Anolis sagrei: one gene and its partner. The protein of the gene in region 2 interacts with the protein of the main gene of each other region in a pairwise test. Links are inferred from orthologs where the notes say so. Each region holds a gene or a part of one and is shown on either strand. Other genes may lie near its edges.

Evidence for each region.
Region 1: the proteins of CCNC (region 2) and NMNAT1 interact in binary tests that used the Homo sapiens proteins (3 or more experiments, as listed by UniProt). The two-hybrid records come from large-scale screens. The link is inferred for Anolis sagrei from reciprocal best matches to the Homo sapiens genes CCNC and NMNAT1.

The regions. Positions count from the first base shown.
Region 1 is NC_090033.1:5,917,134-5,933,238, reverse strand, and holds the start of NMNAT1 (nicotinamide/nicotinic acid mononucleotide adenylyltransferase 1), read right to left. Parts: upstream 6,040-16,105; 5' UTR 5,971-6,039; intron 1-5,970. Other genes in the region: protein LZIC, read left to right, coding at 8,152-8,252, 9,295-9,430, 9,584-9,682, 10,823-10,918, 11,181-11,262, 14,825-14,883.
Region 2 is NC_090021.1:99,269,222-99,285,834, reverse strand, and holds the start of CCNC (cyclin-C), read right to left. Parts: upstream 6,001-16,613; 5' UTR 5,850-6,000; coding exon 5,818-5,849; intron 3,435-5,817; coding exon 3,328-3,434; intron 840-3,327; coding exon 755-839; intron 554-754; coding exon 484-553; intron 1-483. UniProt on the Homo sapiens protein: Component of the Mediator complex, a coactivator involved in regulated gene transcription of nearly all RNA polymerase II-dependent genes.

The DNA of each region.
Region 1 (16,105 bases), on a different chromosome or scaffold from region 2:
CGTCTGTCAGCCCCAGCTTCCCATGTGAGGACAGGAGAGAAGCCTCCCACAAGATGGTAACACCTCTGGGCGTCCCCTGGCCAACGTCCTTGCAGATGGGCAATTCTTTCACACCACGACTGCTGACCAAAAGGTTGGCGGTTTGAATCTGAAGAGTGGAGTGAATTCCTGTCTATCAGCTCCAGCTTCCCATGCAGGGACATGAGAAGCCTCCCACAGGATGGTAACACATCCGGGCGTCCCCTGGCCAACGTCCTTTCAGATGGCCAATTCTCTCACACCAGAAGGACTGCTGACCAAAAGCTCAGCGGTTTGAATCCGGAGAGTGGAGTGAGCTCCTGTCTGTCAGCCCCAGCTTCTCATGCGGGGACATGAGAGAAGCCTCCCACAGGATGGTAACACATCCGGGCATCCCCTGGGCAACGTCCTTGCAGATGGCCAATGCTCTCACACCAGAAGGACTGCTGACCAAAAGGTTGGTGGCTTGAATCCAGGGAGTGGAGCGTGTTCCCGTCTGTCAGCCCCAGCTTCCCAAGTGGGGCAGTGAGAGAAGCCTCTCACAGGATGGTAACACCTCCGGGGCGTCCCCTGGGCAACATCCTTGCAGACAGCCAATTCTCTCACACCAGAAGCGGCATGCAGTATAACTCTCAATTTGCTTCTGATATGATTAAAAAATAATTCTGGAAATGTTCCCACACTTCAGGTGAGATCTCTGTGGACATGACTGGTGTTCTGTGACCCACAAAAAGGGGATCTAAATATGTGCCTTGTTCATTGCTTCCTTGCAGCCTTTTTCTCTCTCCTGGCGCCATTCTGGCTGGCCAACGTGGTCTCTCCGGGCCTGATCCTGAACAGGGAGACCAGGACAGGGAAATGTTACAAGCCGGTCTCCGAATGCAATTGCCTGTGGCATGTGTGACCCATAAAGCACCGGGCAGCGGCTTTACTACAGCGAGTTAAACCCCTAGCTGCAGAAAATATTGCCAATTAAAAGGATGGCAGTTCAAGCTCGGGTTGGGGTGAGCTCCTGCCGTAATCTTAGCTCCTGCTTACCTAGCAGTTCAAAAACAGCAACGTGAGTAGATAAATAGGTACCGCTTTGGTGGGGAAGTAATAAAAGGTGCCCATCCAGACATGCTGACAATTCGATCAGGGGAACGTCTATTGACAACAAAGCTGCTCAGCATGGAAGATGAAGCGACAGCACCCCCTGTGGCTGGAGTCAAGCACAGTCTCCAGATGCCAGAGATGGAAAAAGATGGGAAGACTTTGCCTTTGTTTATGTACTGTCTGTCTTTGTTAATTGTATAACGACATTGAATGTTTGCCGTATATGTGTACTGTAAGCCGCCCTGAGTCCCCTCAGGGAGATAGAGCGGAAAATAAATAAAGTATTGCTGGAGGTCAGCCTGTGTTTGTGTCTAATGATCAGGATACTCTGGATGTTGGGAGTGACAATGAGGTTCATGTGTCTAATAATGAGGTTGCTCTAGATGCAGAGAATGACAATGGGATTCCTTTTCAAAGTGAATTTTCTGATGGGAATGTTCCTGAAGGGTTTGGGAATGACGGTCTGTTCCCTGGGCCTGAATTGCTACCAAAGAATTCCCAAGGCTTTGAGCCCGAGAAAGGCTCGGCAACTGGGCCAGCTGCAGAATTTAATGAGCCAGTAGATAGGAGACATGCTTTCAGTCAGCAAAGGAAAACAAACCAGACTCTCAGGCGCGCTGCCAGATTGCAGGAGAGACTGATAATCGAGTCAAGGCTGAAAAGAAATACATTCATGGCCACTTGGGATATAGAGTAGATTAGAGGATAAAAGTGTCAAGTACAGAATCTGTAGTCAGACGAAGCAACATTGAAATTGAGTCCAGATATCATCTCGGGTTCCTAGAAGCCTTGTCTTGGATAGATGCTTGTATCAAATGCCTTGATCTTTCCATGCTGAAGTGCCTTGTTTGATTCATGCTCAAAGTTTGGGGTTTTGTTTTGGTAGTTCCAGTATTTGTTGTCATGAACTCTGAAGATTTGTTGTTCCTGTCTTTCTTTTCTACCTAATTGGATTTACCTATTTTTGTGGATTGCTTTTTATTGCTACTGCCTTTAATTATCTTCAATAAACTGCTTGCATTTTATTCAGCTGTGTTGTGTTTAAAGTCAGAGGGCTTTCTGGTATGTTATTATTATTATTATTATTATTATTATTAGTAGTAGTAGTAGTAATTTTCAATGATTCCTTAGGCACCATACCCAAAAACTATGGACACCCTGCTTAACCCACTTTGCTTCCATCCGTTCTTCACCCACAGAGAAAACTGACTGATCTCTGCAGAGGCCACGAGAGAAAGATATTCAGAACCAAGGACAGAACAGGCGTCTTTAACTATTTATACATCGCTCACATTAGGTGGTGTTCTGAGTTGAAAAAGGGAAGGTTTGGGGGAGTTTTTAAAGAGCTAAGTGGGGAAGCAGGAGGGGAGGATACGGTTCCCAGGCTTCAAACCGGCTTTCAAGTGTGCTGGATCTCATTGTCCACATTGTGAAACATCCCACACGCTTTCCTTTTTTTGTTCCTGCTGCTGTATAGAACAATTAGCAGTCACAAGCCCTGCGCATGGAGCTTGAAGTGTGGCAGCAGAAGCCACAGGAAGACAGTTGCCATGGGAACTGGCATGGAACCGTAAGATGCTTCAGAATCGGGAGCAGGTCGGAAGCTGGGATTTTGGGACAGCACCTTTTCCTGATTGCAAACATTTGGAAAGACAGGCAGATGCTTAGATCGAGAACCTCAGGCCTTTTGGAGAGTCCCTTCATGCTAACGCCCCGTTTTTCTTTGTTCTCCCACCCCACACGTGTAAAAGGCTCGCAGCAAGGCTTTAGGCTACAATGGGTGTTTTTCCCTTCCTTTCCCCCCATTTGAGTCTGTAATGCAGCTCCCAAAAGAGATGAAATTGAATCTGGCCCCTGAACAGGAAGGAATTTCAAAACCTTTGATTCTGGATTACAACCATTCCCCCCAGTGAGCCACATCTCCATGAGCAAGACCAAATACCTCACAGGGTTGTGGTGGTGCAATGGGCTAAACCCTTGTGCTGCTGAACTGCTGACCTGAAGGCTGGCAGTTCGAATACGCATGATTCGAGCTCCCATTGTTAGCTCCTGCCAACCTTGCAGTTCGTCAACATGCAAATGTGAGTAGATAAATAGGCAGGAAAGGCATAAGACACTCCAAGCTGTCATGCCGGTGACACAACCAGGAGGAAATGGAGAACAGCTTCTCCCCCAAAGCCAGAGATAAGCACCGCCTCCAAAGCCGGAAATGAAAGGAGAAGCCTTTGCCTGTGTTTGTGTGTATTGTAACATTTTTGCCGGTATCTGTTTACACTGACCAGCAACCTTATCACCAGTGACCATCATCTTGTGTAATTAAGTAGCAGGAGGTGACAATGCAGGCTCCTTGGCTTGGAAACTGAGAACGGCACCTCCCCCAGAGACAGAGATGACCACCGCCTGCAAAGCGGGAAATGAAAAGAGAAGCCTTTGCCTTTGTTTGTATTTGTGTGTCTCATTGTATTGTAACATGTTTTGCTCGTATCTGTTTACACCGTTTACACTGACCAGTGACCTCATCGCACTAGAGAATGAATCCACTTTAAATCCGGTTTCTGCCTCCTGCAGAATTCTGGGGTTTGTACTTTACTGAGGCTGTTAAAGCCTCCTCTCAAAACTACAAACGCCATAATTCTGCAGGAGGCAGCAATCAGATTTAAAGTGGATTCATTCTCTTGTGTGATAAAGTAGCAGGAGGTGACAACGCAGGCTCCTTGGCTTGGAAACTGAGAACAGCACCTTCCCCAGAGTCAGAGATGAGCACCGCCTGTAAAGCCGGAATGGAAAGGAGAAGTCTTTGCCTTTGTTTGTGTGTCTCATTGTATTGTAACATGTTTTCCGGTATCTGTTTACACTGATGAACCAATCTGAACACAGCATATTATTTGAGAACACAGAAATGTTGGACCACTCTCACAACTATCATGTCAGCCGACACAGAGAAGTCCATTGCAATCCACAAGCAGGTGGACAAATTCAAGAGAAAGTAGGAAACCATGGAAATGAACAAAATCTGGCTCCCGGTATTAAAAAAGAATTCTGAAATCTGGACAGTAAATAAAGAACAACAGTCAAAAACTGGGGAACTCCAAACAAGAAACAATCAGGGACAGCGAATCACTTCAAAACAAAGGATTCCTCCAGGCAGTTAGAAGTCACACCTTGAAAACTGCTAGGCCATTAAAAACTCTAAAATCAGGACGGTAAATAAAGAGGAACACTCAAAAATAGGGGGATTCCAGATAGGAAATAATCAGGTCCAGCTAACACCTCCCAACAAAGGATTCCTCTAGGCAGGGAGCAGCCATGCTTTGAAGCTACAAGGCCATTAAATGCTAAACAAGGTGTCCAACTGCAACATTCACACTTAACTCAAGCAGACAAGGGTTCTTTCTCCCACCATGGACATCATTCCACAGATAAATAGACAGTCCACTTGCCTCATTTCCTAGCTTTGCAGCTTCTAAGCTTGGCTGCTTCCTGCCTGGGGGAATCCTTTGTTTGCAGTCCTTGGTTTTGCAGCGAGGCTTTGAAGCATCAAGGCTATTCAATGCTAATCAAAGCCAAGGACTGCAAACAAAGATTCCCCCAGGCAGGAAGCAGCCAAGCTTTGAAGCTGCAAGGCTATTCAATGCTCATCAAAGCCAAGGACTGCAAACAAAGGATTCCCCCAGGCAGGAAGCAGCCAAGCTTTGAAGCTGCAAGGCTATTCAATGCTCATCAAAGCCAAGGACTGCAAACAAAGGATTCCCCCAGGCAGGAAGCAGCCAAGCTTTGAAGCTGCAAGGCTATTTAATGCTAATCAAAGCCAAGGACTGCAAACAAAGGATTCCCCCAGGCAGGAAGCAGCCAAGCTTTGAAGCTGCAAGGCTATTCAATGCTAATCAAAGCCAAGGACTGCAAACAAAATATTCCCCCAGGCAAGAAGAAGCCAAGCTTTGCAGCCTCAAGGCTATTCAATGCTCATCAAAGCCAAGGACTGCAAACAAAGGATTCCCCCAGGCAGGAAGCAGCCAAGCTTTGAAGCTGCAAGGCTATTCAATGCTAATCAATGCCAAGGACTGCAAACAAAGGATTCCCCCAGGCAGGAAGCAGCCAAGCTTTGAAGCTGCAAGGCTATTCAATGCTAATCAATGCCAAGGGCTGCAAACAAAAGATTCCCCCAGGCAGGAAGCAGCCAAGCCTTGAAGCTGCAAGGCTATTTAATGCTAACCAAAGCCAAGGACTGCAAACAAAGGATTCCCCCAGGCAGGAAGCAGCCAAGCTTTGAAGCTGCAAGGCTATTCACACTTGCCTCAAGCAGACCAGAGTTCTTTCTCCCACCCTGGACATCATTTCACAGATATACAGAGAAAGTCCACTTGCCTCATTTTCTAGCTTTGCAGCTTCAAAGCCTGGCTGCTTCCTGCATGGAAGAATCCTTGGCTTTGCTGCCAGGCTTTGCAGCCTGAAGGCTATTCAATGCGAATTGAAGGCAAGGACTGCAAACATAGGATTCCTCTGGGCAGGAAGCAGCCAGGCTTTGAAGCTGCAAGGCTACTGAATGCTAATCAAGTTGGCCAAGGGCTTCAAGCAGACCAGAGTTCTTTCTCCCACCTTGGACACATATAAACCCAATTTTACTAGTTTCTAAGAGACCTCACAACCTCTGAAGATGCTTACCATAGATGGTAAGATGTGGGAGAAACGTCAGGAGAGAATGCTTCAGGAACATGGCCAGGCAGCCAAACTTATAGCAACCCAATAATATTGATAAATAATAAGATCTGTTCAATAATGATAATATTACTAAATCATTAGATGTGTTCATTACCCAAAACAGCTCCTTTTCCCCAGCCAAGAAAGTCTTTTCCTTACCTGAAAGATTCAAAATCGAAAGCACTTCAGGCCCGGAACTGAACACCGCGGCTCAAGCGGCTGGGGGGAAGACTATCGCCACAGTACCACAAGCGCGGCGCCTGATTGGCTGGAGAACCCGGAAGCGGGCCTGTGTCCGTCGCCGAAGGGCTTCCCCCACGACCTGGGAACCGGAAGTGAGAGGGACTCGCCCCTCCGTGACAGCAGACCCTGTCTCTTGGAGGGAGGATGTGATTGGAAGAGGTGGAGGCTCAGGAAGAGGAAGAAGAGGAGGAGGAGGAAGAAGAAGGGTTGGAGGTAAGGGTGGGTGCTTCTCCTTCCCTGGATATGATGGCCCTCCAAGTGGAGTGTCTTCGGGGTGGGTCCCTAGGTGGCTGTGGAGCCCTATTCTTCACCCACATGTGCTTCCACAGTTTCCATTGTTGGCTTGACGCACCTTCCTCTCCCTATCGCCCTCCATTCGTGCCTCTTCGAATTCCGCAGCACTGCTGGTCACAGCTGACCTCCAGTTAGAGCGCTCAAGGGCCAGGGCTTCCCACTTCTCCGTGTCTAATATATTTATTTATTTATTACATATATTTGTACCCCGCCCTTCTCTACCCTTGAAGGAGGACTCGGCGCGCCTTACAACCCACAGCAATTTGATGCCCCCCATATGTTGTTGTTGATTTATTTATTTACGACATTTATATGCGGCTTACAAGTAAATGTCATAAATATCACTAATAATAATAATAATAATAATAAGTCACTTTTGGGGTTTGTTTATTTATTTATCGTGTCATCAGCAAGCAGAACATTGTATTACATTTCAGAACAAAACAAACAAACAGATTAAAAAAACCCCACAAATTTTGCAAACTTAGTAGTGGATTAAATGTCCTTTGACCAGTATCTGGCCACTTGGAGTGCCTCTGGTGTTGCCACAAGAAGGTCCTCCATTGTGCATGTGGCAGGGCTCAGGTTGCATTGCAGCAGGTGGTCAGTGGTTTGCTCTTCTCCACACTCGCATGTCACGGATTCCACTTTTAAGATTGGCTCTGCATCTCGTGGTGCCAGAGCACAGTCTGTTCAGCGCCTTCCAAGTCGCCCAGTCTTCTGTGTGCCCAGGGGGGAGTCTCTCATTTGGTATCAGTCATTGAATGAGGTTCTGGGTTTGGGCCTGCCACTTTTGGACTCTCGCTTGCGGAGGTGTTCCAGCGAGTGTCTCTGTAGATCTTAGAAAACTATTTCTTGATTTAAGTCATTGACGTGCTGGCTGATAGCCAAACAAGGGATGAGCTGGAGATGTCTCTGCCTTGGTCCTTTCACTATTGGCTGCTACTTCCCGGCAGATGTCAGGTGGTGCAATACCGGCTAGACAGTGTAATTTCTCCAGTGGTAGGGCACAGAGACCCCGTGATAATGTCTCATTAAGAGCCACATCCACTGTTTTAGTGTGGTGAGATGTGTTCCACACTGGGCATGCATACTCAGCAGCAGAGTAGCATAGCACAAGGGCAGATGTCTTCACTATGTCTGGTTGTGATCCCCAGGTTGTGCCAGTCAGCTTTCATATGATATTGTTTCTAGTGCCCACTTTTTGCTTGATGTTCAGGCAGTGCTTCTTGTAGGTCAGAGCACGGTCCAGAGTGACTCCCAGATATTTGGGTGTGCTGCAATGCTCCAGTGGGATTCCTTCCCAGGTAATCCTCAGAGCTCGGGATGCTTCTCTGTTCTTAAGGTGAAAGGCACATGTCTGTGTTTTAGATGGATTAGGGATCAGTTGGTTTTCCCTGTAATAGGCAGGTGAGAATTTGTAATTTGGGGTAAGAAGGGCAGAATATAAATGTCGCAAGTAAATAAATAAATAAATAAATAAATAAATAATGATAGGCAACCCTGGGCTAACCTGTTTCTACCAAAGTGTCAATGTTGTCTTTTGTGGAGAGGTGGCTGCCAAGGGAGCATAAATGGTCAACGTTATCTAATTTCTTCTTGAATAAGTTATTTTGCAGTAACCATCCCAAGTATATTGTTGTTCTCTAGACTGTCGAAGAGGCTGGGCATATTCATATAAGGAAGAGAATAAATATTGACCTTTATACCCAAACGATGTATAAGTTATAAGTTGAGCTGGTTACTAATTAGCACAGTATGTTTTGTTTCTCTCGCAGAGGTTGGTAATGCGAAGAGTTGAAAATGGCTTCAAGAGGGACAATTGAAACCAGCAAGTTGAAACAGAACTTGGAAGAGCAGCTGGACCGATTGATGCAGCAACTGCAAGATCTGGAGGAGTGCCGGTAATAAACAGCTTCTGGGAAATGACTATGCTCGAAAAGGTTTGGTAATACCATGTGAACAGGGAGAAATCTTTTTGTACATCTGGCCCCAAAGCCTCATTTGTTTGGGGTGTGGTTGGAAACATAACATAACCAGTTTCTTTTGAGTAATGGGAAAGTAAAGAGTTATTTGGTTGCCATGAGTTTTCCGGGCTGTCTGGCCATTTTCCAGAAGCATTCTCTCCTGACATTTTGCCTGCATCTATGGCAGGCATCCTCAGAGGTTGTGAGGTCCGTTGGAAACTAGGAAAATGGGGTTTATCTATTTGTGGAACAATAAAGAGCTATTGTTGAAATGTGTAATGATTATAGTCATCAGACTAGCCTTTTAAAGTGGGCACCCTGCTTTCTTCGTGTTTTCTGCCTCCTGCAGAACTCTGGGAAATGTAGTTTGGGAGGGCGAGGACATCTCTAGCAGGCTCTTCCCCAAACTACATTTCCCAGAGTTCTGCAGGCAGAAGGCACCAAGTAAGTGGGTGTGCCCGCTTTAAAATGCTAGCGTGATGAGGCTGTAAGAATAGTCTGGAGGCTTTCTGTAAGAATAGTCTGTAAGAATAGTCAAAGGCTTTCATGGCTGGAATCACTGGATTGCTGTGAGTTTTCCGGGCTGTATGGCCATGTTTCAGAAACCAGCTAACACCTCCCAACAAAGGATTCCCGCAGGCAGGAAGCAGCCAGGCCTTGAAGCAAGGCTTTGCAATGCTAATTAAGGGGATTAATTGCAACATTCACACTTGCCTCCAACAGACAAGAGTTCTTTCTCCCACCCTGGACTTTCCACAGATATATAGACTTTCCTTGTCTAGTTTCCGTCAGACCTCACAACCTCTAAGGATGCCTGCCATAGATGTGGGTGAAATGTCAGGAGAGAATGCTTCTGGAACATGGCCAGACAGCCCAGTAAACTCACAGCAACCCCATAGTCTGGAGCTTTAGAACAATAAGTTTGATTTATCAGTATTTAAAGATCTCTCAGCAATCTTAACTCTTGGTTCTCAATCAGAGAGGAACTAGACACAGATGAATATGAAGAAACCAAGAAGGAAACCCTCGAACAGCTGAGTGAGTTCAATGATTCCTTGAAGAAGATTATGTCCGGAAACATGACCCTGGTGGATGAACTTAGTGGGATGCAGTTGGTGAGTACTTTCTTTGTGAACCAGTCCAGTGCACATTTGCTAATCCTTTTCGTCCAGGGTAGACATGTCTTATTGGCTTTGGTATTAGAGATATTGCTTGAGGCCAACTAAGCAGACAAGCCCACAGTTTGTGTTATATTATGTCTCTTGCAGGCCATACAAGCGGCCATCAGCCAGGCTTTCAAAACCCCAGAAGTCATCCGCATGTTTGCCAAAAAACAGCCTGGGCAGTTGAGAACTAGATTGGGCGAGGTAAGGATCTAACCCTTGCACCTAAAAAAATGAATGTACACTTATTGCTTGTTGAGATTTGCAAAGATGTAAGGCATGTTACAGTGTTGCCTCTCATCACGAGAAGCAGAATAGGGCACTATTAAAAAGCACATCTTGTTACTAATAATAATACTTTATTTATATTCTGCCCTTCTCCCCATGGGGACACAGAGCAGATTAGAGTGTAAACAGATGCTGGCAAACATTAAATGCCTCATTGCAATACAGTGAGACACACAAACATAAACAAAGGCAAAGGCTTCTCTTTTCATTTCCGGCTTAAAAAGCACATCTTGTTAATAACACTAATAATAATACTTTATTTATATTCCGCCCTTCTCCCCATGGGGACACAGAGTAGATTACAGTGTAAACAGATGCTGGCAAACATCCAGTGCCTCGTTGCAATACAATGAGACATAAACAAAGGCAAAGGCTTCTCCTTTCATTTCCGGCTTAAAAAGCACATCTTGTTAATAACACTAATAATAATAATTCTTTATTTATGTTTTGCCCATGTTCCCATGGGGACACAGAGCAGATTAAAGTGTAAACAGATGCTGGCAAACATTCAATGCCTCGTTGCAATACAATGAGACACACAAATATAAACAAAAGCAAAGGCTTCTCCTTTCATTTCCAGCTAAAAAGCACATCTTGTTAATAACACTTATAATAATACTTTATCTATATTCCGCCCATCTTCCAATGGGGATAGAGAGCAGATTACAGTATAAACAGATGCTGGCAAACATTCAATGCCTTGTTACAATACAATAAGACATGCAAACATAAACAAAGGCAAAGGCTTCTCCTTTCATTTCCGGCTTTGGAGGTGGTGCTCATCTCTGGCTCTGGGGAGGTGCTGTTCTCCATTTCCAAGCTGAGAAGCCTGCGCTATCACCTCCTGGACTTATTTGGAGCGTCTTATGCCTTTCCTACATATTTGGTGCAATGCAAGGAGTAATCCTAAGCTCAGTAGCCACAGAGAAGGCTCTCTCTTGCATTGCACCAAATATGTCTTTGATAGCAGTGGCATAGACAAAGGTTGCAATAAAATAATCATTCGTCAAATATGTAAATGTTCTCTCTTCCCTCCCCTCCCCCTTTCTTGTATAGATGGACAGAGATTTGATTGTTGGAAAGCTAGGGCGGGACCTTTACACCCTGCAGAAAGTGGAAATCCTCACCGCACTCCGCAAGCTTGGGGAGAAGGTACGCATTTTGGAATTCTGTCTTTCATGGGACTAAAAACTGAATGGCATGTGCAGGTTGCCATCCACTTTTGTGAGGGTCAGGTGTGCAAAAGTGGGAAAATTCTACATATCTCAAGGCCCCACACTTGTGACGGTGGGCTAATTGGGTTTCATGTGGAATCTATGGAAAACATTTGAAGCCTATCTATCCATGAATTATGTTTTTCTCGTTCATCTTTAACCACTTACAATACAGCCAACTCATTTTCCTTTCCTTTCAGCTGACGCCCGATGATGAGACCTTCCTTTCAACAAATGCTGGAGCTGCTCTAAGCCAGTTTGAGAAGGTCTCCAATGACCTTGGTAAGTCTTCCTTTTTTCTGTTTTCCCTCCCTGCTTCACACAACTTGCTTGCAGCCAGGTGGGAGAAAAATGGCTGAAATCATCTTAGATCTGTGGTTCCCAACCCGTGGGCCGCAGCCCACTAGACCTAAAATAAGATCTGCAAGACATGCCAGGAAAATTGTCACTGGCTTGTGATTGAGGAGAGAGAGAGAGAGAAGGAGAGGGAGAGAAGGAAGGAAAGAAGGAAGGAGATGCCAGTGTGTTGCCCTCGCCAGGGCTTTCCCGGCCTTCGGAAGCTTCCCAGGCCAGGGCAGAGAAGATTCACCAGGCGGAATGAGCGAAGAAGCGAGGGAGAGAAGGAGAGTCCCCCAAAGTTGTTGTTGTTGTTATTATTGTTGTTGTTATGGAGCGCCATACAGGGAGCACACCACCTCCCTGTTATGTCAACTCCACTGGCTGCCAATCCAATTCCGAGCTGGTCTTGGCCTACAAAGCCCTATACGGCTCCAACCCAGCTTACTTCTCCGAACGTATCTCCCTCTACGTTCCACCTCGTAGTTCAAGATCCACTGGGGAGGCCCTGCTCTCGGTCCCACCAGCCTCGCAAACGCATCTGGTAGGGTTGCGGGACGGCCTTCTCGGTGGTAACCCCCCGCTCTCCAGTGAGATTAGATGAGCATCCTCCCTCTTTTCCTTTAGGAAAAAACTGAAATGGTGGTCTTGGAACCAGGCTTTTGGCTAGCAGGCATAACGGCACTTTGGACACTGAACTGGACCATATGATTGTTAGAATAATGGAAACGGCTGTATGATTGTGTAACTAATGTTATTGTTTTTAATCTGTTATGTATTTATGGTTTTATATTGATGTTATTTATTTATTTATTTATTTATTTAACGATATTTATATACCGCTTTTCTCAGCCCTCGGGCGACTCAAAGCAGTTAACAATAGTAAAATTCACTGCTCAAAAAATCATAAAACAGTTAAAAACAAGTAAAACAGTGGCATAATAAGCAATCAATATAAATCAATAAAACATCTCATTAGCATCTCATAGTTAAAATCAAGATCCAATCTCAACATCCAATTGTTCCATATTCCTATGTTCATTACACTGCCTTTTCAAATGCCTGCTCGAACAACCAGGTCTTCACTTTCCTCTGAAATGCTGACAGGGAGGGGGGCGATCTGATGTCTGTAGGAAGGGCATTACACAGCCGAGGAGCCACCACTGAGAAGGCCCTGTCTCTCGTCCCCGCCAAACGCACTTGTGATGCAGGCAGGATCGAGAGCAGGGCCTCCCCAGACAATCTTAACATCTGGGGATCTTAATAATAATAATCATCATCATCATCATCTTTATTTAATACCCCACCACCATCTCCCCAATGGGGACTCAGGGAGGCTTACATGAGGCCAAGTCCAACAGCATATTACAATAAAGTAAAATCAAACCACAATAACAACACAGTAAAATACATACAACGTATGAGTACGAAAACGATAAAGCAAAACCATACACAGTAAAATAAAATAACATTACAATGAGCGGGCCACATGTGCAAGATATTGTTCTTTGCGGCATTGAATTGCTGCCAGTGTTAGCCGCTCTGAGTCCCCCCTCGGGGGTTGAGAAGGGCGGATTAGAAATGTTATAAATAATAATAATAATTAATATTAGTAGTATTAGTAGTATTAGTAGTGGTAGTATTACCTGCCATTGCCACAAATCAGTTGTAATGAGAAAGCAGCCATTTCTAAGACCATGTTTAGTCCCTCAAAGTTGCTTTGTTGTTAATGTTGGAGAGTGGTCCCTGTTGGGAACCTCTGCCGTATAGACTACTGCAACCCGCTCTGTGTGGGATTGCCTGTGAAAACGGTTCAGCAATTGGTCCAATGGGCGGCAGCCAGATTATTCACTGGAGCGGGGTACAGGGAGCATACAACTCCCTTGTTTCGCCTGCTTCACTGGCTGCTAGTCTGCTACTGAGCACAAGTCAAAGTGCTGCCTTTAGCCTATAGAGCCCGAAACGGTTCTGGCCCACTTACCTGTCTGAATGAACCATCCTGGAGATTAAGAACACCTGGGGAGGCCCTGCTCTCAGTCCCGGCTCCTTCACAAGCTCGACTATTTATTTATGTATTTATTTATAACATTTATATTCTGCCCTTCCCACCCCGAAGGGGACTCAGGGTGGAGCACAGCATATACACGGCAAACATTCAATGCCGGGACACAGATTCACATACACATACATAAACATAAAAAACATTTATCTCAATATTAAAATACACCATTTAAAACCGTCCTAGTCATTCGCATCAAAGCTAATTGGCCTGGTAATCTTTCCTATTGCTGCCTTATTGCCCTGTCCCGAAAGCTTGGTCCCACAGGCAAGTTTTGACCATCTTTCTAAAGGACAGGAGGGAGGGGGCCGACCTGATCTCACCAGGAAGGGAGTTCCATAGCCGGGGAGCAAACACCAAGAAGGCCCTGTCCCTAGTCCCCACCAATCGTGCTTGTGACAATAGCGGGACGGAAAGCAGGGCCTCTCCAGAGGATCTTAATCTCCACAGTGGTTCATAGGGAGAGATGCGTTCAGACAGGTAATTTGGGCTGGGGCCGTTTAGGGCTTTATACGCCAAAGCCAGCACTTTGAATTATGCCCGGTAGCAGACTGGCAGCCAGTGGAGCTGGCGTAACATGGGACTTGTGTGCTCCCTGTATGCTGCCCCAGTTATTAATCTGGCTGCCTCTCGTTGGACTATTTGAAGCTTCCGACCAGTCTTCAAAGGCAACCCCACGTAGAGTGTGTTGCAGTAGTCTATCCTAGATGTAATGAGAGCGTGGACCACCTTGGCCAAGTCTGACTTCCCAAGGTACGGACGCAGCTGGCACACAAGTTTTAACTGTGTGAATGCTCGCCTGGCCATCACTGCAACCTGGGATTCCAGGCTCAGTGATGAATCCAGGAGAACTCCCAAGCTGTAAACCTGTGCCTTCAAGAGAAGTGTGACCCCGTCCAGCACAGGTTGCCACCCTATACCCTGTTCGGCCTTGCGACTGACCAGGGGGACCTCTGTCTTGTCTGGATTCAACTTCAATTTGCTCGCCCTCATCCAGACTGTGGGGACTAGTGGGGACGAGAGACAGGGCCTTCTCAACGGTGGCCCCTTGGCTATGGAACTTCCTCCTTCCCCAGCGAAATTTGATCAGCCCCCTCCCTCCTGAACTTCCGAAAAAAAGTAAAAATTTCTGGGCCTTTGGGCAGTAAGCAGCACAAGGAATGATGTGCAATAGAGATGATATTTGGAATGATGGTTGGTTTGTGTGATTTTAATGTTAATATTGATATGTTTTTAATTCCCTGTTTTCATGTTAAATGGTGTTCTGCTTTATGATTGAATTGATAATTGTCTGTTATTATTGTTACGTCTCTGTAGGCGAGGCATTAAATTTTGCCATAATTATGTTGGAAACTGCTTTGAGTCCACCACTGGGGGGAGAAAAGAGGTATACAAGTGAAGTAAGGAAATAAATACATGGATCCCTTCTTTTTCTTTCTCCTCCCGCAGGGTCAGGGGACAAGGTCTTCGCCCTGGCAAGTTTCGAGGTAGAAAAATCCAAGCAATGATTTTTTTCCCCATTTTGTGGGTGACTTCTGCCTGTCTATGTTGGCCTCTCATTTTTTTTTAAAAAAAAGTTGTATTTGTTGTATTCTTACGGGCTTTTTTTTTTTTTTTTTTGTAACGCTCTTTCTCTTAACAGCAAGGTAACCGAAAGCAAAAAAATAAATAAAAATTAAGTACACTTCAGGAACTCAGCAAAGTAAAGGTCTGAAGCTTGAAACACTAAGTGGTATTCTTCAACAAAGGAAAACAAACCTAATTGTGACTGTCATTTTTGTAAAACATGGGCAAATGCGTACGATTCTCCTTTCTCTCTTTGTCTTTGAAATGTGCAATTTTTTTGTAGTAAAATGTTCTCTCTTTCTTTATTTCCTTGGTTTTTTTTCCCTACGTGATGGCAGAAAGCCTTTGTCTCTTTGACAACCGGTGCTACTAGGGGCGTTCATTAAAGCTTTCCCCTGACCCACTTCCTGTGGATGGAGAGCAATGAAGCTTGGCCCAGTTCTGAGTCCTTCTCTCCATGGGTGCCACCTCAGGACACACACTTCTCCCTTCTTTGGTAAACACCTCGCTTGGAGAAGTCGACAGGTTGCTCCAAAAGCAACTTTGGAAATCAGAGTCTCAGCCTCTGACGAATGCTTGACCTTCAAAAATAACTCATGTGGTGACCCCCAACCATAAAATTATTTCCATTGCTACTTCATAACTGCAATTTTGCTACTGTTATGAATCGCAATGTAAATATTCGATATCCAGGATATATTTTCATTCACTGGACCAAATTTGGCACAGATATCCAATACGCCCAAATTTTAATACTGATGGGGTGGGGGGGGGGGAATTGATTTTGTCATTTGGGAGTTGTTGTTGCTGGGATTTATAGTTCACCTACAATCAAAAAGCATTCTGAACTCCACCGATGATGGAATGTAACCAGTCTTGGGACACAGAATGCCCACGACCAAGAGAAAATACTGCAAGGGTTTGGTGGGCATTGACTTTGAGTTTGGGAATGGTAGTTCACCTACATCCAGAGAGCACTGTGGACTCAAACAATGATGGATCTGGGCTGAACTTGCCATGATTACTCAATATGCCCAAATGTGAACACTGTTGGAGTTTGGGGAAAATATACTTGACATTTGGTAGTAGTACTTGTTGTGATTTATAGTTCACCTACAGTCAAAGAGCATTTTGATCCCCACTGATACAATTGAGCCAAACTTC
Region 2 (16,613 bases):
AATTTTATACAATGAACATCATCTCATTATATTGTATATAATGAGATTTGAACATCTATAGATTTTGGTATCAATTGGGGGGGGGGGTCGCAATTGATACCAAGTACCCATTGCATATGATTAAACAGCCATAGTTATGAAGCTAAGAGGAGAGATAGTACAGAAAAATATTAAGAAAAGAAATGTAGAAAAATAAAAAGTGGTGGAAAAACTAATGAAAGTACACCTACTGGAATAGTGATATAAACTTTGTTTAAATACAATGTCTAACAGAACTGAAGATAGACAAGACAGCAAATGGCCAATATGAGAGACTAACATTACAACATTATAATGAACCCTTGTTAATTTTTAGTACTGTATTTTTTTCTCTTTTTCACAAATGGAAAAAGATACCAAATGCAGTATTTAAAAGAGGGGGGAGTTAAAATACCTCTCCATTTAACCAAATTTGCACATAAAAATCAGAAATACTCCACTTACCTCTACTTTAGATGCCAAAAACACACATGTGGGAGCCATCAGAACAGGATCTATACTTTTTAGGGAGTATCTGGGGGCAAAAAAGAAATATAGCTCTAAATAGAGAGGAAGAGCTACTCTTAACTATTCCATTTTTTCAGAAGAGCTGAATCCTATCAATCTATAGGATTTACGTATATAATTAGAATAAAATCAATTTTTAACTTTTAAATGATATAACAATGTGCAAGAAAAGAAAGCACTGTTCTGCTAACAGAGTGCATGATCCTACCTGGCATAGAACCTCTTGAAATAGACAGTAGCAGTGGCAATAACTTGTTGTCTTAATTTCAGATGTTCACCTAAAGCCTGGATGACTTACAAACAAAAAGAAAACTGAGTTAAAGTTTCAAAATGGGAGCTTGCATTTTGTCAGAATCACTGATAGTATATCCCACAAGGCTAAGAAACTATTATTTTTCCAACATTTCTGAGGTCTTACAAGCTGACTGACAAAAATGTATTTTTCACTTGAACTTCCTTATATATTTACAGATCCCTTTGTTAATGCACATGCTCATTTGCCTTCATGGATTATCTGCCCATTGATTCAATGGCTCTTTAAAAGCAACCATAGGGCTGATTTGGCCCTTCATTTTAAGAAAGAGATGACTGGAAGACACATAATAACAAATAACAAAAATAGAAACCACAATGGTCCAATTTAAACATATCGTTTCAGGATTTTTTCAAAAAGTACAAAGCGTAGTTTTAGATCCTGATTAGTATACTAACATTAAACCACAGTTGTCTGTTTCAGACATAACTGGGAACAGCTTGCTGTGATTGGTACACAATGGAAAGAGGAACCTCTGGTTGCCAAGCATGTTCTTGGCTATGGCTTTCCTGTGCTTAAAAATGCACAATCAAACTAGGCCAATGATTTCCCCATGGCTACCCGGTGGACTGAAGGTGAACCCTGGTCCAAGTGCCATATACTATTCACGAAGTCAAACTAGTTCATATTCTGGCAGATGGCACTTATTTCCAGCTTTTAAATGTAGTTCTATCAAATTAGTCACATCAAATTAGTCACATCTCCATGAAGGACAGAAGAGGCATATGGTACATGCGTAGGTAGCATCTCAACATGGTGAAGGCAACAGTTTGCTCTATCATGTACAACTTACTACATTTCTCAACTCACTTGCCCTACAATTCTAATAGGAGAATATTACCAGGTTATTGTGTGCATTTTGAATCATCATTATGGGCTGAAGTGTTTGAATGCCTTGCAAATGGCTGTTGTCTGTCTAATGAATCAAGATCCCAGGATCAACATAGTTGCTGGGTTTCAGAGGCAGCAGGTGTTTGGAGCATGGCATATTTAGTCTAGGGAAAGGGAGTGGGGTGTTGAGAGACCAGAAGAGGTAGTCAGCTGCTCCATCACTAGCTCTGCCTGCCAGTTGGCCAAGAAGCAACCCTGGTGTCAGCTGCACAGGTAGCTCTTGTTTGGCCTTCCAGGCAAAGGAGATCTGCCAAGAATGTCAGGAGCATCCATCAGGGATACCAAGCAGAGGTGGAAGGCGAAAATGATGGAATGAAACATAAGGTGATTTACTTGGTATTCTTCCTGGATCTCCTCATCCATACATAATCCAAACATGGCAATGCTGTTATCATTATCATGCCATTTTCAAAGAGCCCTGCAAGTTCTATTTCAGTCCACACATTTATGCACACATTTTAAAAGGAACACAGCCAAACAAAACGTACATGCAGAAGGGCTGTCTAAAGAAACAACCATTACAACAGATCACCCTGATGTCATGTTGCATTACTATCACTATATCCTGAATCCTACTTTGTGTAATTATTTGCTCAGCAGATCATGGATTAAGCTATCAGCTGAACATTCTCCATTAAGGATAAGTTTCTATCCAAGCTTATACCGAACCAGGCATGTAGCCGGGGTTCAGCTGCCCCCCCCCCCCCCCGGAAATTCTCATGGTGGTTCGCAAAAATTGAGGTCCTAGCCCTCAAAAATGTGCTTCTATTTGAAGGCTATCACATTTGACCACTACTCCTGAGTATATGGCTATACTTTCGCATCAAATTTCTGATAACAGCCACAGTGAAATATCCAGACACACAATCAAAGCCATTTTCTGGCCTAGATGCTTCAGTTTATCATCAGTGCTCTCTACGCAGAGTAGAGTTCATGAAGGAGCCAAGTTTAGTTTCAAGAAAAAAAAAAGTGTATTTTGAATTTTACACAAGTTTCCACATCCGCACTGGGACCCGAAAACAACAAACTATTAAAGTGTGATTAGTCTATTTCAACTTTCCTGAAGGCCCAGTGTTTTCAGGATCCACATTACATATAGACCAAATAGTGTGTCATTGCCTTTATAAAGTCTTGGAAGTCAATATGTAACATGGCCCCAAGATGCTACAGTACTATTTTAAAGCAGAAAGACATTTTCTAATGAAGTATTTCTAATTACACTGTTACATATCCATGAAACAGTGTGGAGTGTAATTTCTGCTCCCTCTACCTTTCATAATATTCTCTTGCAATCTACTTTTAAAAACTGGGGGACCTCCAGTACAAATGGAGGGGCTAAAGGGGGTGATGATAGTTTCATCACCTAAGTAGGAAAATAAAATAATCTATGTTGAACAGTGCTAGATTTAAGCTGAATGCTTAAGCTTCTGCTGCAAGCATGTCCAAGTTTCTTTTCGCTAGGTACATAACAGATAAATCTTCTTGCTTTATAATTTTGCATGTTTTGTGAAGTTAGCACAAAGCAATACAACTGCAACACACATCAGTGGGGCAAACTAGAACTGAAATCATGTTACCATTCGTAAAGAATATCTGTAGCTTCCAATATTCTTCTTCTGTCAAAAATTTTAAGTCCTTTTGGCGTTCCTTCAACAGATCTTGTTTATCCAAAATCCATTGCAAGCTGCAAAGGAAGAAAAAATAGAGAGTACATCTTTTAAACCAATTTTGAGTATTGCATGTATTAAACATGCTTGTCAACTTTCATTCTACAGCCTGATGCCAAAATAACAAACTTCTCTGCATATTCAATTAATCATATTGAAAACTACTGTTAATTTGTGTTGTCGAAGGCTTTCATGGCCAGAATTGCTAGGCCATTTCCAAGCTGTGTGGCCAAGTTTTCCAGGCTGTATGGGCATTCTCTCCTGACATTTTCTGAGGATGCCTGCCATATATGTGGGTTAAATGTCTGGAGAGAATGCTTATGGAACATGGCCATTCAGCCTGGAAAACTCACAGCAACCTACTGTAATTTGTTTCCTTTTGGGTTTGTTTTCTGAACTATTAGCTATAAGAAAAAGTAACTAACTGGGGGGAAAGCTGGCCTGTGATAAACTATGATTTTTCTGCTTTGGTAGCTATTTCAAAGGCAAATTTGAAATTGGATCCAGACTATTTAAAGGTCCATTATTTTTAACTGTCCTGTCACCATCATAGATACTATCAGTGAAAACATGAGAAAGAGTCTGCTGCTCTTGGGCTCCTTCCCACAGATCTGCTTGGCCTCGTTCTCTAGCTTCTTTGTACCTACAGGCACAGCCCTTTTATTTAGTCCCGCGTTCCATATTTAAAGAAAAGCTTTCCAAACATTTCATGTATGTTACATTCATTTTAGGCATGTATCATTTTGCCTCACAGTAATTCAGTTTCACTAGCAAACTGGAGGTTAAACCAACTCCTTATAAAAAAATATATAGATTTATACAAATTGTAATAACAAAATGTTTGGAAGCACAACATATCTCATGAAAACTTTGGATTTATATATATTTAAAAAAACGCTTTATTGCTTATTTCATGTAGACTTTTGTGTGGCGCGCCTACACACTACTTGTTACTTTTGTGTGGCGCGCCTACACACTGCAGCCACACACTAACACAATAGTTCTCAACCTGTGGGTCCCCGGGTGTTTTGGCCCACAACTCCCAGAAATCCCAGCCAGTTTGCCAACTGTTAGGATTTCTGGGAATTGAAGGCCCAAACATCTGGAGACCCACAGGTTGAACACCACCGATAGAGGACTTGGGGCGGATTCCAGCATACAGAAAAACAAAGACAAACATTCAATTCCTTGAAAGGGAATTGCATCAAATATATCATATAATATTATCCCGCTGAGCAATGTTTGGATTTTAGTGCTGTAATGTAAATATGGATATTTTGTGTAGCTTTTCCCTGAACATTGTTTTATATATGTGAAAAATATGTATGCCAATATAATATTATTTTTAAAAATTGGTAAGGATAAGGGATACTAAAACCTGCACTATACCTTCCGCCCCAAAAGGCAGCACCTCACAGCTAACATAAAACTCAATTTTAAACTATGGATTTAATTTGATATTAATATTGCTGTTCTACAAAAGGGTCTATCTAGATTATTGATTTTAATGCTGCTTGTCTCTACTCCATCTGACATGGCTCAATGCCATGGAATCCTGGGAGCTGTAATCTTACAAGGTCTTTAGCCTTCTCTGTCCTTTGGGGGTTTTTTTGTGTATATCAGGAGCGACTTGAGAAACTGCAAGTCACTTCTGGTGTGAGAGAATTGGCCGTCTGCAAGGACATTGCCCAGGGATGCCCGGATTTGTTACCATCCTACGGAAGGCTTTTCTAATGTTCCCTCATAAGAAGCTGGAGCGGACAGACAGGAGCTCAACCCGCTCCCTGGATTCTGCTGGCACAATGGTTTAACCCACTACGCCATTGAGGGGAGAGGAGGGCGTTTTTTGTCCTTTGGTGAGGCACCAGCACTTTCCTGTAGGAGACCTTGCAAAACTATAATTCCCTGAATATCCTGAATATGTGGCAGTTAAGAATGGGATCAAACTGCATTAATTCTACAGCACAGATGATGTCCATGTTGTGCCAATTCTAGAGAGAAATAAAAATATCATAATCATCTCTATTCTCTATAGCATGCATAGGCCAACTTGGGCCCTCCCTCCAAGTGTTTTGGACTTCAACTCCCACCATTCCTAACAGCTTAAGCGGCTGAGGGGGAAAAGGAAGGGGCCTGAGGCTGTTAGGAATGGTGGGAGTTGAAGTCCAAAACACTTGGAGGGAGGGCCCAAGTTGGCCCATGCCTGCTCTATAGCAATTAAACACTCTCCTTGCCAAGTTTGCCAACACCCCTCAGTCCTCCTGTGGCCCGGGATTCCAGGAGCCCCCTTCAAAACAGCAGGGCCAGGAAGTGTGTGGCGTGGCATCCTGAAAAGCCTTCCCCTCCCCGCTCCCCCACAGCCAGGGCCCCCCACCAGAGAGGGGCGAGGGGTTCACTCACTAATGCGAGCTCTGCCAGAAGTTCCCTGCCATGAAGAGGGCGCGGGGCTCGCTGCCGGGTCTCTTCCCTGCCGACCCACCCCGGGCTCTCTCTTCCAGGAACAGGAAGGACTCGGCAGCGCCCACCCGGCCACCAAGCTCATCAGGGCCGCGGCAGCAGCAGACTCGGCCCCGGGGCTGCGCGCGCCTACTCTGTGTCCCGGCCTGCTTCCGCTGCCGCGCGCATCCGTTCCGGGGAAAAAAGGTTCCGCCCCTCTCAATAGGGACAAGCCGTATTCCCGCTTCTCCTGGACTTATTAGTTGAGAGCAAAGGCATTCGACACAGTGAATCGCACCGCCCTCTGGACCATCCTCCAAAAAATCGGGTGCCCTAATAAATTTGTGAACATCCTGAGCTCCTCCATGATGACAACAGACTTGGACAGCAGTGGGTCCCAAAGTGACCCATTTAAGGTAAAATCAGGCGTCAACATTTTTATTATTGCCCCAACTGTATTCTCCATCTTCATCACTATGATACTTCACCTTGTTGATGGGAAGCTTCCCACCAGAATGGAAATCATCTATCGGACAGATGGCAAGCTGTTTAACCTCAGCAGACTGAAAGCCAAAACCAAAGTTACAACATCTGTTATAGAACAACAATATGCTGATGACAATGTCGTCTGTGCACATTCAGAAGAAGATCTACAAGCCACTCTAAACACCTTCGCAGAAGCATACGAGAAGCTCAGCCTGTCATTGAACATTGAGAAAACCAAAATGCTGTTCCAGCAGTCACCACCCAACCCCTCTCCAATGCCAGAGATACAGCTTAATGGTGTAACATTAGAAAATATTGACCATTTCCACTACTTTGGCAGCCACCTCTCCACTAAAGTCAGCATCAACACCGAAATACAACACCGCCTGAGCTCTGCGAGTGCAGCATGTTTCTGAATGAAGCAGAGAGTGTTTGAGGACTGGAACATCCGTAGGGATACCAAGGTGCTTGTTTATAAAGCTATTGTCCTCCCAACCCTGCTCTATGCCTGTGAAATGTGGACTGTCTACAGATGTCACATGCAACTCCTGGAACGATTCCATCAGCGCTGCCTCCGGAAAATCCTGCAAATCTCTTGAGAAGAGAAACAGACAAACGTCAGTGTGCTGGAAGAAGCAAAGACCACCAGCATTGAAGCAATGGTCCTCCGCCATCAACTCCGCTGGACCGGCCACATTGTCCGGATGCCTGACCACCGTCTCCCAAAGCAGTTACTCTACTCCAAACTCAAGAACAGAAAACGGAATGTTGGTGGACAGGAAAAGAGATTTAACGATGGGCTCAAAGCCAACCTTAGAAACTCTGGCATAGACACTGAGAACTGGGAAGCCCTGGCCCTTGAGTGCTCCAGCTGGAGGTCAGCTGTGACCAGCAGTGCTGCAGAATTTGAAGAGGCATGAATGGAGGGTGAAAGAGAGAAGCGTGCCAAGAGGAAGGCGCATCAAGCCAACCCCGACAGAGATCGCCTTCCACCTGGAAACCACTGCCCTCAATGCGGAAGAAGATGCAGATCAAGAATAGGGCTCCACAGCCACCTACGGATCCACAAGAATACTGACCCTGGAAGACTATCCTACTCATCCAACGAGGGATTGCCTAAGTGCAGATTAGTTGAGGGTGAACCCACACTGTAAAATGAATGCCTTTTATTGCCACGGCTTAATGCTAGGGAGTCCTGGCAGTTGTAGTTTTATAAGGTCTCTCGCCTACTCTGCCAAACAGGGCTGGTGCCTCACTAAACTACAGCTCCCAGGATCCCATAGTATCTTTATTTATCGTGTCTGAAGCAAATTGAAAATAAAGTTATAATGTTAAAGTTATAATGTATTTAAAATGTATTTATGTATCTATATAAATAAAAATGTTATGTTCGTTTGTGGGATTAACATAACTCAAAAACTACTGGACAAATTGACACCAGATTTGGACACAATACACCTATCAGGCCAATTAGTGACCTTGGAATGATCTCCTTTGAATGATCTCCTTGGATCTCTGCACAGCTTCATCCAAAGGCATGTTGAGTTTCTGATTCTTCACTCATAAAACCACTGAAAAACACAGCAGAAGAGACTTAAAAAGCCAAAAAACAAAAACCATTACAACGCATGCGCAAAACCACACATATACACAAATACATATACACATATATACACACACAAAACACATATACACAGACGGCCACAGCAACGCTTGGCAGGGGACGGCTAGTTTATAATGTTTTTAAAAGCTTCAAACAAAGTTAATACCTTGGCTCTATGATACTGAAGGGGACAAGGGACCTGATTTCATTTTATTAATAAATAATAGCAATAATAATAAAATAATAACTTTACTTTTGTATCCCGCCACCATCTCGGGGCGGCTTACATGGGGACCAAACCCAGACAAGCAGAAATTTAAAATATAACACAGTAAAATTCAACTACAAAACATCATAAAAACATAACCATCCACAATCAAAACATCCAATAACCTAACCTAGAGGCCATATATTGAGCTGAGGGGCGAGGCAGGAGCTTGTGCAAAACAGTTGCAAGGGCAGGGCTGATAGGAAAGTGCAGGTATGAAGTATGAAGAATAGTTCGATTAAATAAATAGTCTTAGCCTTAGAAATCAATTGAAGATTGTCTTAGTGTTAGAAAAATTTAGCCATGTGAAACACACACAAAGGGAAAAGGCTCACATAAACAGAACATTGAAAACATGCACCAAATGGAACCCTAAGGAGAGAAGCAGGGCAATAAACAGGCCTACATTTCGTTTGACCAGAAGCTTTCCACTTGGAGTGCCTCTGGTGTCACTATAAGAAGCCCCTCCATTGTGCATGTGGCAGGACTCAGACTGCATTGTAGTAAGTGGTCCCTTACTACACACTTGCCCTTCTCCACATTTGCATATCGTGGACTCCAATTTGTAGCCCCATTTCTTAAGGTTAGCTCTGTACCTCTTGGTGCCAGAGTGCAGTCTGTTCAGTGCTTTCCAAGTCACCCAGTCTTCTGTGTGCCCAGGAAGGGAGTTTCTCATTCGGTATCAGCCACTGATTGATGTTTCGGGTTTTAGCCTGCCACTTTTGGACTCTAGCTTGCTGAAGTGTTCCTGCGAGTATCTCTGTAGATCTTAAGAAGCTATTTCTTGATTTAAGGCATTTGCTTGCTGACTGATATCCGAACAAAGGATGGGCTGGATATGTCGACGCCTTGGTCCTTTCTTTACTGGCTGCTACTTACCAATGGATAACAGGTGGTGCAATACCGGCTAAACAGTATAATTTCTGCAGTGGTGTGGGGCATAGACATCCTGAAATATTCTACATTGGGCATGCACACTCAGCAGCAGAATAGCAAAGTGCAAGGGCAGATGTCTTCACTGTATCTGGTTGTGATCCCCAGATTGTGGCAGTCAGCTTTTGTATGATATTATTTCTAGCACCCACTTTTTGCTTGATATTCAAGCAGTCCTTCTTATAGGTCTGAGCACGGTCCAAGGTAACTCCCAGGTATTTGGGTGTGCTGCAAGGCTCCAGTGGGATTCCTTCCCAGGTAATCCTCAGAATTTGAGATGCTAGTCTGTTCTTAAGGTGAAAAACACATGTCTGCATTTTAGATGGATTAGGGATCAGTTGTTTTTCCCTGCAATAGGCAGTAAGAGCCCATAAAGCTTCCGAGAGCTGCTGTTCAACCATTTCAAAGCTCCCATAGCATTAAGGCATGGCAAACTGTGGTGCCAAACTGAATTAATTCAACAGTGTAGATATACCCTGAGAGAAAGAAGCTGATGCAATCATTACTGTTGTTATTATTATTGTTACCTATTATCTCCACATAGTGGGGGACAGCAGCATATCAAAATACAACATGAACTATCAGTTTAAAATACATAATGTAAGTTTTTGCAGGCCCCTTCTACACTGATCATTTCATACAGTTTCAAACTGTTTTTTAAAAGTTATTTTACTGATGATTACGTAGAAAATCCTGGAACCAATTTGAGGCATGGATGATGATTATACAGAAATCACAGAGTACTGATGCACACATTAAGGGCTTTCTTCCACATACTTTTGTGGGAGTTTGTTGTCTCGCTGCCACAGTTTGAAGAGGCTAACTTTGAGCTGCATTAAATGGTTAGTGCAAATGGAGCCATAGACTACAAGGGTGCATCCCTTTAACTGCTAGGGCTCAATGCTATGCAATCATGGGAGTTGTAGTTTTGTAAGTCATCATCCCTCTTTGCCAGAGAAAGTTAAATATCTTGTAAAACAATAGCTCCCATGATTCCATAGCATTGAGCCATGGCAGTTAAAGGGGTGTCAAACCACATATTTTGCATTCCTATGGCTATTCACACAATCTGCTTACACACTTCCTTTGCATTGTCCCTTGACCTTCACTGCATGCATTTGGGGAAGCAGAATGAAAGTATATGCCACCAACATTTTTCTCAGTCTGTCTAAAAGTGTCTAGCATTGCTCTGTAAAGGAATTAACAAAATCAATCATGTATAAGCCTTCAGTAGTTACAAAATAAATCAGAATGTGTCTAATGAGGATATCTGATGCAATGACACAAAACACACTAATTCAGGTAATGTTCTTGTAAGACATTTATCTTCTGTTACAGATGTATTGAATTTCCTCATGGCACGTCTGTAGCACCTAGGGAAATTGTGAATGCATCAGGCTCATTGTTGCTCTGAAGTGCCAGTGCTGCGAGAAGAGACGACACAATTCCTCAGGGGTTTGTTTCATGTTTTTCATGATCTTGCATCATCACCATCACCAGAAGCTACATAACCATATACAGTAGTGGTTCTCAACTTATGGGTCCCCAAATGTTTTGGTCTACAGTGATTCAGTTCAACATGGGGCTCTTTCACATGACATATTACAGTGCTATGATTCCACTATAACTGCCATGCCAGTATCCTAAGCAATCCCAGAATATGTTGTTTAATAAGAAACTAGAGTTATCTGGGTAGGAATTTTAATTACACTTCCAAAACAACAAATTCCAGGATTCCATTAAATGGACCATGGCAGTTAAAGTGGATTCATAGTGCTTTAACTCTGCACCTGACTAGATTTCGACATTTCTTTTCAAATTCACTATTAGTTTCTTGTCAAGAATGTGTAGAAGCCAGAAGAAGAAGAAATCCTGTTGTTCCATTTTTACTGTTGCAGATGCCTGAGAGGCCTGTCACAGTACATTAAGGCATTCTGTCAGGAGGGTGGGATATGCATAATGGGAATATGTATACATCTGTCCCAATTCATACAGCCTAATGCTGGAGCAAATGTGCCTGCCAAGGACTGGGTTGTACAGCAACCAATCGTTGCTTCTTTTTTAATTGTAGAAATGTCTTGGAAATGAAAGGTAAGATTTTAAATCCTTGTCAATAGTGAGATTTGCAAGGATGATATCCATTCGGGCTATCATGAACATTGTATTCTATTGTATGTATTTAGCACATTTGTATGTTAATCTGTTTTAGAAACATGAAAATCAAATAAAAAAGGTGTTGTTTTTCCTCAATTCAACTGTCACCCGATATGGCGACATCAATAATCCAAACTTTTTTCTTTTCCACAATCATGATGTCTGGTGTATTGTGTTTCAAAACTTTGTCAGTCTGGATTCAAAAGTCTCACAGTATTTTTGCATATTTATTTTCCACTTCCTTTGCAGGTTTATGATCCCACCAATTCTTTACTGCTGGGAGGTGGTACCTGTGACATTATTATTATTATTATTATTATTATTATGTTGTTGTTGTTGTTGTTGTTAATATAATTATACTGTATTATGTTGCAGAATTATATTTTGTTGTTGTTATGAATATATAATACACATCACCATCATTAGCAGTGTGGCTCCTGCGGGTCTGGATCGAGAGAGAAAAGCAGGGTGCAAAGGAATAAAATGATGATAATAATAACAATAATTCTTCAGTGTAGATCAGTGTTTCTCAACCTGGGGGTCGGGACCCCTCGGGGGGTCATGAGAAGGTAGCAGGGGGGTCACCAAAGACCATCAGAAAACAGTATTCTCCGTTGGTCATGGAGGTTTTTGTGTGGGAAATGAGGTGCAATTCTATCGTTGGTGGGGTTCAGAATGCTCTTTAAATGTAGGTGAACTATAACTCCCAGCAACTACAACTCCCAAATGTCAAGGTCTATTTCCCCCAAACTCCACCAGTATTCACATTTGGGCATATTGAGTATCTGTGCCAAGTTTGGTCCAGATCCATAATTGAATGAGTTCACAGTGCTCTCTGGATGTAGGTGAACTACAACTTCCAAACTCTAGATCAATGCCCACCAAACCCTTCCAGTATTTTCTGTTGGTCATGGGAGTTCTGTGTGCCAAGTTTGGTTCAATTCCATCGTTGGTGGAGATTCAGAATGCTCTTAGATTGTAGGTGAACTATAAATCCCAGTAACTACAACTCCCAAATGACAAAATCACCCCCCCCCCCCCAACCCCACCGTATTCAGATTTGAGCTTATCGGATATTTGTGCTCAATTTGGTCCAGTGAATGAAAATACATCCTGCTTATCAGATATTTACATTACGATTCTTAACAGTAGCAAAACTACAGTTATGAAATAGCAATGAAAATAATGGTATGGTTGGAGGTCACCACAACATGAGGAACTGTATTAAGGGGTCGTGGCATTAGGAAGGTTGAGAAACACTGGTGTAGATGGAATGATACAGCCCAGTCCTCTCTCTGCTCTCTTCTCTCATCCCAAGGCTGCTGTTCCTCAAAGCAGCCGGCAGGAGGCGCAGCGTGGAGGAGAGCCAGCTTCCAGCCCCGTTCGCGGAGGAGGAGGAAGGGGAAGACTGACGGCGGGTGCTCGCTCAGCCCACCTCCTTCGCGGCCCGCGGCGCCGGACGAGCGAGCAACTCCGCACTAGCAGCCGCAAATTCGCAAGGGCTTAGTGGGAAAGCAGGCGGGCAGCAGGACCGACTCAGCCACCCGGCGGCTTCGCGACACCGACCAGTCAAGACGAGACGGGGCGGGGCTTAGGCAGGCGAAAGGGGCGGCTCTCCAGGCGAAAGAGGCTCGGCCCGCCCCCCTCCCTTCGCTTTCAAGCCTCCTCGTTTAAAGGGGCAGGGACCGCATTTCTCCTCCTCGCCTATGAAAGGAAAAAGCAAGCGTGTAGGAATGCAATCACAGGCTGGATCTACGCTTCTGTATATCCCAGCATCAGTTTGTCTAGCAGTGTAGACTCCTAATCCAATTCAAAGCAGATAATCTGGGATCAGATCCTGGGATATAGGGCAGTGTAGATCCACCCACAGTAGGCTTCCCAAACTGTATTTCCGCCAGAATAATTGAGTATAACGGAGGCCCCTTCTACACTGCCATATCATCCAGATTATCAAATCCGATAATCCGCATTATCTGCTCTGAACTGGATTATAGGTGTCTACACTGCCATGAAATCCAGTTCAAAGAAGATAATCTGGATTGTATATGGCAGTATGGAAGGGGAAATATAAAAGGCCAGTAGACTGACAGTCATTGTGATGTACAACATGTGAACTATATAATGGGAGAAAAGTGGGATAGAAATAAAATTAATCCAGATAATCCGAATTATATATGGCAGTGTAGAAAGGGAAATATACAACTGGTCAGAGGCTTCCAAAATAATTATGCCAAAATAAAATAATAAAATAAATAGTATTAACATTTTGAAATAGCAGAATAAACACTACTAATATTTTCTTGGGCAACACTTCCCTTTCTATAACCTCAGCCATTCTCTTTCCTCTAACCATTAATTCTTATAAAATCCACCATAAAAGCAATACATTATTCCTCAAATATAAACAGAGGAGAGAGAAAGAATAGACACTGATTGCTCTTGCTTCGTCTTTTATACAACTTGAGGATTTCTTATCTGGAATTTTAAGATCAGAAATGTTTCAGATTTCAGGATATAATGCATATAATGAGAGATGAGTCCTAAATCTTAACACAAAATTCATTAATGTGTCACATATACTTTGCACACATATACTTTACACACATAACCTGACGGTAATATTTTTACAATCTTTTAAAATAATGTGCTTGAAACAAAGTTTGTGTACCTCAAGTTTGAAATAGCAACCTTCTACAAGCCTTCTATACTAGTTATTTGTTATGTATATCATTCAGATTGCTTACTGTATATTGTATGTGTGTACTGTATTGTTATGCAGTTTTCCTTAACTCTATGTTGTGGGAGGGACTGCAGACCATGTGACCAGATCTGGGACTATTCAGACTGAGACTCCATTTTCAGAAGTCAGTATTGCATTGTATAGTCAGCGTTCATTATGCATTAGACATAAGACAGAGAAGAGACTGCAACAGAATGCTTTGGAGAACTTACTGTTTACACTTTCAACTGATAAGCAATGTACCTGTAAGCTGAATATATGAAGTTTGTAAGTAAACAAACTATGTTATTTTTAATGAAAACTATTTATTTTTCTCTCTTGAGAGCATGATTTAAATCAAATATATTTTATGGGAGAGTAGATGTTTTTGGGCAACTGAAATAACACTTCTGAAAATCTGCTATATATTTTGTGCATTGGCATAATCTTTGTTCCTAACAGTTTATTTATTTATTTATTTATTTATTTATTTACTGTGTTTATAATTATTTATTTATTGCCTTTCTCACCCCTGGGTAATATTCTCAAGGCAGTTTACAACATACTAATGGCAAAAATTCGATGCCAACATACAGTACACAAAGAAATCATAATAACTAATTACTACATATAACTATGAACTTAAAATCATTAAAACCATTAAACATAAGACATACATCAAATTTAAACATTCAGACAAAGCATAAAAACATTCTAGTATAAACATTAAAATCCCATGATCTAGTTCAAAGAAATATCTAGGTATATCAGTCTAACAGCCGAGAAACCTAATTGCCTTGCATGAATAGTAGTGGATATTTACGATGGAGTTTTTAGCTCTTCTCATGAAGATTATACTTTACAAAAAGGTAATGATTATTCCAAATGGTGCAAATGACAATTAATCTCCAAAAGGGTCAAGCTTCCAAAAGCATTTGGAGATTCCTGGTTTTCCAAAAGGTTATGATCTCAAGAAGTCATAATTTCCAAAATATACACATAACTTGATGGTAATAAGTTTACAATATTTTAATAATTTTGTGCTTCAAACAAAGTTTGTGTACCTCGAACCATTATCTCAGCCATCCATGTGTTGAATTTGGAGCATTTCAGAATTCTGGATCAGGAATGTTCAGCCTGTTTTGTCATTGAAAGAGGTGACAAGTGATATTAGCCTACTATAGGGAATTGTGAGAAGATGCTTCATTATTATAATAGGGAATGTGAAAGACACATATCCTGCGATTTACTTTTGCATCAAGATGCCATTGCATTACACTGCAGGGGAATCAACCATTACCATCTAACGATGCATCCTTTAAAAGCTGCTGGTTCTGAATTGTACATTTTAAATCGGTTGGCTCTTCACAGAAAACATGAACTCTTTGAAAGCATTTTTATTTTATTATTCTCTCCAAGTTGCACCAGATACTTTTCTTCTTTCAATTGCTATATTGTATCAAGAAGATAAACCAAAACCAGTCTCACATCCACAAAAGTTGAATCTGGCTGTGTTCTTGTTTTATAATTCTAGCAGTTAAATTCTACATTGGATGTATTTTTTCCACTTACTGTTTAATATCAAATAATACAATCCAATTTAAGGGGGTGCATTTAAAGTACATGGTTGTGTGTATACTGTATGCCTGATTTGTATATGATTTGTTTACAGGACCGAACATCAGTAATAATGGCAAAAGGATAAAAAGTGCTCCACTCCATGAACCCTTTTCCAGTTCATGAAGCTGTTGTAAGGGAACTAATGCAAATATCTCCTGACAGCCGGCCATCTAGAAACCATATTGTCTCTATACCTTTCCTTCATTCCTTATACTCTTTCTCTGCATCTATACATCTCCTTGGAATGATCTCCTTGGATCTCTGCACAGCTTCGTCCAAGGGCATGTTGTGTTTCTGATTCTCCTGACAAAACTTGACAGTTTTTATTTATAAGAAGGAGGGGATTATTTCACCCTCCTTTCCAAAGGATAGAGACACGCACGTCTCCAAAGTGCTACAGCTGTTATGATCAATCCATTGGCTGAAAGCGTAACTCTTTCGACATGGATTTTATTCAGGAAGCTACATGCAAATCATATGTCAGGCCTGCACTTCCTTAAGGCTGTTTCACATGTATATGTAAAAAGTCAGAGTAGCAGTCAAACAAAATGTAGACCTCTCTCTGTGCCTTGGCATTGGATGGCCTTGAGGGGAAAGTGTGAGTTATTGCCACTGAAAACAGCATGTCTTGAGAGTTTTCTCCATTGTACTAGAAAATTCAAAGGTACTCAGATTGAAAAGAAGATGGAGAATTGGGATGTTGGAAATTGCAACTAATATGTAAACATTGACTTTGCTTCTACTTATGACACTGAAAGAGTAATGGGATCATATCCAGGAGTCAAGTGAACGCTCTGTGGGTTTGTTTTAGATATCTTGATTTAAATATCTCAGATAAAAATGTGTGCCAAGCCCATTTCTTTAGTATTACATACCTTGAATAAAAATTGTTTGGAGTGGGCTTGAGTCTTCTTCCTTGGAGGACTTAAATCAGATATTGGCTGGCCATCTGTTGGGGGTGCTTTGATTGCATGTTC